Linked DNA regions of Saccharomyces cerevisiae S288C. Changing the gene in region 2 together with the main gene of any one other region gives a genetic interaction. Each region holds a gene or a part of one and is shown on either strand. Other genes may lie near its edges.

Region 1 (2,672 bases), on a different chromosome or scaffold from region 2:
CGATCGTATTACATTGGGCTATAAAAAGAGATTGTCAATGATTGAAAATCAAATGCGACATCTTTTGGAGGATTTTAGTTTGGACGTTCAGCAGATTGAACCCATTCTTGCCGACTTGCAGAAGTACTACGACGCGTTTCTACAACTTTTACAGAAAAGGAACAAATCATTACAATGTAAGAGGTCCACTCACCAGCCGGTCCCATCCCCAATGAATAGCCAGACATCAACAAATGCAAAGGTTAATTTGAGCGGAAAGCTTATGAAGTTTCAGCTAAATAGTGTACAAAAGTTCGACGAAGAAAATATACTAAGGATTCTGCAAAATAAAATAGAATTCGAACATTATTTCCAAATTGATAAAGGTAAGAAGCAAAAGGTGCTATTACTTGCCGTATATCAATGCCTCAATGGGCCAACACGTTTGCATAAAGTGCTTAATATTGAGGGAATTATACATAATAATAGTATCAGAACTATACTGGGCAAACAAGTGTCCAGTTCTAAGTGGACAGTGTTTCTGTACGATGTAAAACTAGTTTTATTGGCGCATAGACAAGATGTTCCGAACTTAGAAACTAGCAAGATGATCGTCAGATATGGTGATTTATTTCCCTGTGCATTGTACTTCAAAGATCATACAGCATACTAAGCGCTTTCCAGGGACACCTTCTGTCGCAAAATATCAGAATTTTTCTTGATTAAACGCAGCATATTGAGTATATGAAATTAACGGGACACTGTGTGAAAAATTTGTAGTTGTACTTTTTTGTTATCCCCTTTGGTAGACATATGGACGAATTACTACTAAGATTGGCTTCCATAAGGCCCAAATCCAGATATCACCTACGGTATGTCCTTTTCCTACTTGCAATGACAAATAATTTGTTATTTATCTTGGAACCTATATAAGTTACATCTGATTGCTTTTGTATTTTTTTTGGAGAATATTATTACCCGCGGGGAAGGAAGTAAGGGGAGAATTTTTGAGGTGTATAAAAGAGAGTGGAGGCTTAATCAATCAAAGAATTCTTTCTCGTTTATTTTCAGGGTTTGTGACTAAGAAACGATATTAAAATGTGGAAGGCCGTGATGAATGCTTGGAATGGAACCGAGAGTCAAAGTAAGAATGTTTCAAATATTCAATCTTACAGTTTTGAAGACATGAAAAGAATCGTTGGAAAGCATGATCCTAATGTGGTTTTGGTAGATGTTAGAGAACCATCTGAGTACTCGATTGTTCATATTCCTGCTTCCATCAATGTGCCATATAGATCGCACCCTGACGCATTTGCCTTAGATCCTTTAGAATTTGAGAAACAGATTGGCATCCCAAAACCTGACAGTGCCAAGGAGCTAATATTTTATTGTGCTTCTGGCAAACGCGGGGGAGAAGCTCAAAAAGTCGCCTCCTCACATGGATATTCAAACACCTCACTATATCCTGGCTCTATGAATGATTGGGTTTCTCATGGGGGTGATAAACTTGACTTATAGCCTTGTATACTCTAGGTATGTACCCTGTGTATTTTCGTAAGCTAGTAACGTATTATGCCATTTATGTCACACCGTTCATAATATTTGCCTATTGCATTGGCTGTGATAGCGGCGGCGCAAAGAAATTAGGAAGTATAAAAAAAAAAATACAAAACTTAATCTGAATGGAATAAGATAGCGATAACTCTCAACAAATGGAAGCGAGACAGAAGAAAAAGACCAACGATGTTCAAGCATAGTACAGGTATTCTCTCGAGGACAGTTTCTGCAAGATCGCCTACATTGGTCCTGAGAACATTTACAACGAAGGCTCCAAAGATCTATACTTTTGACCAGGTCAGGAACCTAGTCGAACACCCCAATGATAAAAAACTATTGGTAGATGTAAGGGAACCCAAGGAAGTAAAGGATTACAAGATGCCAACTACAATAAATATTCCGGTGAATAGTGCCCCTGGCGCTCTTGGATTGCCCGAAAAGGAGTTTCACAAAGTTTTCCAATTTGCTAAACCACCTCACGATAAAGAATTGATTTTTCTTTGTGCGAAAGGAGTAAGAGCCAAAACTGCCGAAGAGTTGGCTCGATCTTATGGGTACGAAAACACTGGTATCTATCCTGGTTCTATTACTGAGTGGTTAGCTAAAGGTGGTGCTGACGTTAAGCCCAAAAAATAAGCCAAAAAGAAACAAGTATAATCGATATATCCTGTATATAGACAACCTTTTGTGTATTTCAAATTTTTTGTTGTCACCTCTCCGATTCATTCGATTTTCTCCTTGTGGTTCGCGGATAACCTCTTACTTCCATTAGTTTATGTGTGCGTTTATTTTTTTATCTTTCTCTATATATTACTTTAATGTGCATTCTTTTGCTTAAATACTCTACCTACGATTATGAAATTCAAATTGTTTAAACTCTTTACCCAATCTCTTCTTCCTTTTCCTTTCCATGACCTTTTCACGTTGCTTGGCCTTCATGTGATCAAATTTCCACTTTTGCACCACTTTACGTTTCTCAGACTTTTTCAAATGGTATCTCGTATTATTGTTTTTATTCATATCATTTTCGTATTCCTTGAGAATTTCACGCTCGAGATCTTTGTTTTTCATTGATTGCAATCTCGATTTCATACTTTTCAGTCTTTGTTCCATTTCTTCACGTTCTCCCTGGTCTA
Region 2 (6,991 bases):
TAAGCTACCTCTGCCCATCGCCTAATATTAAAACAAAAAAATTTTTCATCTATTTCAATATCGGACACTTTTCCCGTCACGTGGAAACGGCTGACAAGGTTAATAAGAAGAAATCGCTTAAAGGACCGACCCAGGCTATAAATTATACTGATCTTTATACACTATACTCTTATTTAATGGGTTGCATCTCAGTCTCACACATTTTGAAACTCTCAAATTCACCTTCAAAAAAGCGGGACTTAATTACTCGATTAAACCAGCGCGTAACCTCTGGATGCTTAGACCTCCATGTTTCATCGAAAAAACTTATAAACCCTAGCGAAAAAGCAGCCGCTGAGATTAAATCAGCAAGAGTTTCGTGGTCATCACAGACAAGGTATTGCTGTTTCTTTAACCTTTTCTCGTAAAGCGAAACAATGGTGTCGACATTCTCTCTTGCGGCTTTGAATTCAGTGGCATTATATGGCTTTACGCCAATTAGAGGGAAAAACACCTCACAAACCTCATTCAAGAAATCACTGTTGGAAAGCGATTCCCATCTTAAAATATCTGCACGAGTTTTGAAGTCACCTTCGGGACCCAACAACTGGCGCACAGCTTCCTTGTCGCTCGACAGATGGATCAAGTAGTAGTCAATAGCCATTGCCTCTGTAAGCGTCCACTCGTCATGCGGTCCAACAAAAGTTGGGTACTTACGCAAGGGAAACTCCCTTTCGTAAAGTTGCTGAGCGTCACTTGGATCAGCAAGCTTAACGTCCAGCTTCAAGGAACGCACTAAACCTCTTGGCACAATGGTCCTAATCAACTTTCTCTCCTTCAAATCAGTAAACAGTGTTCCGTCAGACATTTGTAGTTTTCTACACAAAGATGCCGAAATCAATGATGAGCAAGTATCGAGTTCGCTTCGCACTGCTACATCTAGGCTTTTATAAGGGGTGGTATCGTTTAAAGGTGCGGCTATTAAAAGGGATGAATACGTGGGAAACGGTTGCATTACAGGAAAAACAGCTTTTTATCTTATTATATCTTTAAATATGTACATACGCTTGTTTATACGTGGAGGCGACAAAAAGGGTTGGTTGAAGGGAGAGAGAAAGAGACGCACAGAGATTGGAGGAGGGGCTCAGTTCGCTGATTGTTTCTTCTTCTGTGTTAGGTTTTCCAAAGTTAACCTGTCGTTGTCGTCGTCATCTTCACTGGGAGGCGTTGAGTTAGTGTTTGAATCTGAATCTGAATTTGTATTCGTGTTGTTAGAATTTGTGTCTTCATCATCTTCCTGACTGAAAAGATTTCCATTGTCATCCGGTGATTTAGCGGTAGAGTTTTCGCCCGTAAATTCGTTGGCAAACTCTGTAGCCGGAGAGGCCTCCCTGATTAGCTTCCTAGTAAACGGATCATCCAAAAAATTCTGTTTTCTTTGTCGTTGATTTTGTTTCTTTAATTCATTGCCTATTAACTTGGAGTAGAGTTTTTTGCCCAACGTTTTCTTTAGCAAGATTTCACGGACTTCGAAGTACAAGTCTCTGGAGGCGTTATTCAAATTTGTCTGGTTTTTCTTGAAATATGACCTGAATTCATTGATGTGTTTTTTGAACTCCAGTTCGTTTTTCTTCAACCAAGAAACGTTCAGCTCCTGTCTGGTAGCACCCCTTGCAAAGTTTCTCATCAAATATTTGTCATAATCTCTGATGATCTTTGTGATAATATCACTTGTAGAGACACCATTGGTTCTTTGGGTAGTCAAGAATTTTCCCATCTCCTTTATTGGCTTGTAGATATCGTCGCTGTCGGCGCTAACGTAAGGAATATCGTCATGTGCCACGTAGTCAATCTTGTGTTCTAGTAGAAATTCTGGGGTGACACACCAGGGAGCGTTGGGCACGACTTCGTCAACCCATCTGCAGTGCGTTAAAGTTTCACAACGCTGCTTATCGGTCAGCACAGTCAAACCTTTTAGTTTGTGAGTGATTTTGTCGCTAGGCACACCAACTATCAGTGTTACATTGGGGAAAGCCTTCTTACACTGTTCCAGTTGCTTCATGTGGCCAAGATGGAAAAGATCAAAAACACCATCTGCATATATCCTGATGGGTCTATCCGTTGGAGGCAAATTGAATCTGAAACCTTTAGGACGATACTTGCGCAGTTCCTTGGGCAACTCGTTGGTGTAACGAGCCTCCTTCTCTTCAAACTCCTTCGTCAACCGGCGACGCTTGCGGGGAGTGAGCTGTGTGTCCTTATTTTCATCCTGGTTCTTACTCTCATCCTTATCCTCATTGTCCTGCTCTTCCGTTTCCTCACGCTGTCTTTTATTTTTATTTTTTTTAAATAGGTTTGATAGCGATGAGTTAGAAAGCTTAGCCCTAATCGAGGACTTCCCTGTTGTTGGGTTTGCCATTTTTCTTTGTGTCTGCTGTGCTTTGTACTACCAAGAGAGAATAGCAAGAGTGAAATTTGAAAGTTAAACAATACAATAAAGAAAAGTGACTGGCGTATGCAAGAAAGGGGAATGGGTATAAAAAATACAAGAACGGCAGAAAAAATAAAAGAAACAGGAGAAACAAACAATGGTAACTGTACTAAAACCAATACCAGATATATATTTCATACTTATTAAAAAGCGTTAAGAAACGAAGCGTAAAAACGTAAGAAAAAGAATGACTATATAACGGTAGGTCTTCGACTCATTTTTTTCTTCCTACATGCAAACGACAAATACGGGTAATGCACATTTCGCTTATTGGGTTCTTCCCTTTCCTTTTTTCCATTTTTTTCTTTCTGGCTGTCGCTAGCCTTTCTACTTCCTCCGCACATACAGTTTTCAGCACAGTATAGATAGCTGTGCAGCCAGATAGAAGCAAAAGAGAAGTCAATTGCAAAAAAAATATGGACTCGTACTCAATAACAAACGTAAAATACCTGGATCCGACTGAATTGCATCGTTGGATGCAAGAAGGACACACTACTACGCTGAGGGAGCCTTTCCAGGTAGTGGATGTGCGAGGCTCAGATTATATGGGGGGCCATATCAAGGACGGATGGCACTACGCCTATTCGCGCCTTAAGCAGGATCCGGAGTACTTACGTGAGCTAAAGCACAGATTGTTGGAAAAGCAAGCGGACGGCCGCGGAGCGCTGAACGTGATTTTCCATTGTATGTTATCGCAGCAGCGCGGACCGTCTGCAGCGATGCTGCTGCTTCGGTCGCTTGACACGGCGGAACTTTCTCGCTGTCGTCTATGGGTGTTGCGTGGGGGGTTCTCGCGCTGGCAATCCGTATACGGTGACGACGAGAGCGTTACGGCGGGTTACCTACCCGATCTGTGGCGTTGACAGGTTTACACAATCGCACGTGATCATATATTTGCCATGACTCCTCCCAGTGACAATTTTGTTCTTTTTTCCTCTTTATCGCTTTCGTACTATGGTCAGTCATTCATTCATTATATACGCGCTCTCCATAACCCGTAACTTTTTATTATATATAGACTCGTTTACAATACAACGATAGCGATACCATTCAATTGAAGTTGTGAGACCAGGTAACGAGACGAACACAACTTTACAAGTCAAATAAGAAATCATGGCTGGTCAAGTGTTGGACGGCAAAGCATGCGCTCAGCAGTTTAGAAGCAATATTGCTAATGAAATCAAAAGCATTCAAGGTCACGTGCCTGGGTTTGCACCTAACCTTGCCATCATTCAAGTAGGCAACAGACCAGACTCAGCCACATATGTACGCATGAAGCGTAAGGCAGCTGAAGAGGCCGGCATTGTTGCTAATTTCATTCATTTAGATGAATCCGCTACTGAATTTGAAGTTCTGCGTTACGTGGACCAGCTGAATGAGGACCCACATACACACGGTATTATCGTGCAACTACCATTACCCGCTCATTTGGACGAGGATAGAATCACCTCGAGAGTGTTGGCAGAAAAGGACGTGGACGGGTTCGGGCCCACCAACATTGGCGAATTGAATAAGAAGAACGGACACCCATTCTTTTTGCCCTGCACGCCCAAGGGGATCATTGAGCTGCTTCACAAGGCCAACGTCACGATTGAAGGTTCCCGGTCCGTTGTGATCGGAAGATCTGACATTGTTGGCTCTCCTGTTGCAGAATTGTTAAAATCTCTAAACTCCACCGTCACCATCACTCATTCTAAAACCCGTGATATCGCATCATACTTACACGACGCGGACATCGTAGTCGTTGCCATCGGCCAACCAGAATTTGTGAAGGGTGAATGGTTCAAACCAAGAGACGGCACTTCCAGTGATAAGAAAACCGTGGTAATTGATGTTGGCACCAACTACGTTGCTGATCCTTCCAAAAAGTCCGGTTTCAAATGTGTTGGTGACGTTGAGTTCAATGAAGCAATCAAATACGTCCATCTAATCACTCCAGTGCCCGGTGGTGTGGGCCCCATGACGGTGGCTATGTTAATGCAAAATACCTTGATTGCTGCCAAACGCCAAATGGAAGAATCCTCGAAGCCTTTGCAGATTCCTCCCTTGCCATTGAAGTTGCTAACACCTGTTCCTTCCGATATAGACATCTCCAGAGCACAACAGCCAAAGCTTATCAACCAGCTTGCTCAAGAATTGGGTATTTACTCTCATGAGTTGGAGCTGTACGGACATTACAAGGCCAAAATTTCTCCTAAAGTCATCGAAAGGCTGCAGACGCGCCAAAATGGTAAGTACATCTTGGTGTCTGGTATCACACCAACACCACTGGGAGAGGGTAAATCCACTACAACAATGGGTCTTGTCCAGGCACTAACGGCTCACTTGGGCAAGCCAGCCATTGCGAACGTCAGACAACCCTCCCTAGGACCCACTTTAGGTGTCAAAGGTGGTGCTGCGGGTGGTGGTTATTCCCAAGTCATCCCAATGGACGAATTCAACTTACATTTGACTGGTGACATTCACGCCATTGGTGCGGCTAACAACCTACTTGCTGCCGCTATTGACACTAGAATGTTCCATGAGACCACTCAAAAGAACGACGCTACCTTCTACAACAGACTAGTGCCTAGAAAGAACGGAAAGAGAAAGTTTACTCCCTCCATGCAAAGAAGATTGAACAGACTGGGTATTCAAAAGACCAACCCCGATGATCTAACACCCGAAGAGATCAACAAATTCGCCAGATTGAACATTGACCCGGACACTATTACTATCAAGAGGGTGGTCGATATCAACGACAGAATGTTAAGACAAATCACCATTGGTCAAGCCCCTACCGAGAAGAACCACACAAGAGTTACTGGATTCGATATCACCGTTGCTTCTGAATTGATGGCTATTCTTGCTCTTTCAAAGGACTTGAGGGACATGAAGGAACGTATTGGAAGAGTCGTTGTTGCTGCTGACGTAAACAGGTCTCCAGTCACTGTTGAAGATGTGGGTTGTACCGGTGCCTTAACCGCTTTATTAAGAGACGCTATCAAGCCCAACTTGATGCAAACTTTAGAAGGTACTCCTGTCTTGGTCCATGCCGGCCCATTTGCCAACATCTCTATCGGTGCCTCTTCTGTTATTGCTGATCGCGTGGCTTTGAAATTGGTTGGTACCGAGCCAGAGGCAAAAACAGAAGCTGGTTATGTGGTTACTGAAGCAGGGTTCGATTTCACTATGGGTGGTGAAAGATTCTTCAACATCAAGTGCCGTTCCTCTGGATTGACACCTAATGCTGTGGTCTTGGTTGCTACTGTTAGGGCATTGAAGTCACACGGTGGTGCTCCAGATGTCAAACCTGGCCAACCTTTACCTTCCGCATACACTGAAGAGAATATCGAGTTTGTCGAAAAAGGTGCCGCTAACATGTGTAAACAAATTGCCAACATTAAGCAATTTGGCGTCCCCGTCGTTGTCGCAATTAACAAGTTTGAAACTGACACTGAAGGTGAAATAGCCGCCATTAGAAAAGCCGCTTTGGAAGCTGGTGCATTTGAAGCCGTAACCTCTAACCATTGGGCCGAAGGTGGTAAAGGTGCTATCGACTTGGCCAAGGCCGTCATCGAAGCTTCCAACCAACCAGTGGACTTCCATTTCCTATATGACGTTAACTCCTCCGTTGAAGACAAATTAACTACTATCGTTCAAAAGATGTACGGTGGTGCCGCAATCGATATCTTGCCTGAAGCACAACGCAAGATTGACATGTACAAGGAACAAGGTTTCGGTAACTTGCCAATTTGTATCGCCAAGACACAATACTCTTTATCCCACGATGCAACTTTGAAAGGTGTTCCAACCGGGTTCACTTTCCCCATCAGAGACGTCAGATTGTCTAATGGTGCTGGATACTTATACGCTCTTGCCGCCGAAATACAAACCATTCCTGGTTTGGCTACCTATGCTGGTTACATGGCCGTGGAAGTCGATGATGACGGTGAGATCGATGGCCTGTTCTAAGACAACTTAATTATATAGAATTTAATAAAGACAAATGCAAAAGTTTTTTTAAAGTATGGATGTATAATAATAATAACGATAATACGAACACTATTGGGACTAATAATGATTTATAGTTTTTTTTACACAGGGGATTTAACGTTCCGCGACCCTTTTTCCTTTAATTTAACCCCAGTTCCTTAACGTCGAAAATTTCCGATTCCGTTAAGGAGGAGAAAACCTAATTACCAAACGAAGCGGGGAGACGCATTAATGAGAACAATAAATGTATGAAACTTTTAGCAATCTAAATGATACTATACCAAGACAAGCGAACACTGGCTAGCACAATATTTGGGCGGAACGAAATAAAATAACGAAGATATACATAAGACACAAAGGAAAAAGCGTTCCATTGCATCTCTGAAGTGAATAATATAAAAAGTAGTAAAGCTAGAAATGTGTGATAAGTCAAAAACGGTATTGGACTACACGATAGAATTCTTGGATAAATATATACCTGAATGGTTTGAGACGGGAAATAAATGCCCCTTGTTCATTTTCTTCTCGGGCCCACAAGGCTCAGGC

What was found. A genetic interaction does not mean that the proteins touch.
Region 1: of YCH1 (region 2) and RDL2, changing one enhances a phenotype caused by changing the other (phenotypic enhancement), as found in Saccharomyces cerevisiae (one study listed by BioGRID).

What each region holds. Positions count from the first base shown.
Region 1 is NC_001147.6:848,558-851,229, forward strand, and holds RDL2 (thiosulfate sulfurtransferase RDL2), read left to right. Parts: upstream 1-1,722; coding exon 1,723-2,172; downstream 2,173-2,672. Other genes in the region: HUA2 (Hua2p), read left to right, coding at 1-652; thiosulfate sulfurtransferase RDL1, read left to right, coding at 1,078-1,497; rRNA-processing protein RRP36, read right to left, coding at 2,380-2,672. UniProt on the Saccharomyces cerevisiae protein: Thiosulfate sulfurtransferase which catalyzes the transfer of sulfane sulfur from thiosulfate to cyanide.
Region 2 is NC_001139.9:902,351-909,341, forward strand, and holds YCH1 (phosphatase YCH1), read left to right. Parts: upstream 1-2,886; coding exon 2,887-3,333; downstream 3,334-6,991. Other genes in the region: YGR201C (uncharacterized protein), read right to left, coding at 170-847; PCT1 (choline-phosphate cytidylyltransferase), read right to left, coding at 1,124-2,398; trifunctional formate-tetrahydrofolate ligase/methenyltetrahydrofolate cyclohydrolase/methylenetetrahydrofolate dehydrogenase ADE3, read left to right, coding at 3,584-6,424; YGR204C-A (uncharacterized protein), read right to left, coding at 6,711-6,824; TDA10 (putative ATP-dependent kinase), read left to right, coding at 6,863-6,991. UniProt on the Saccharomyces cerevisiae protein: Protein phosphatase.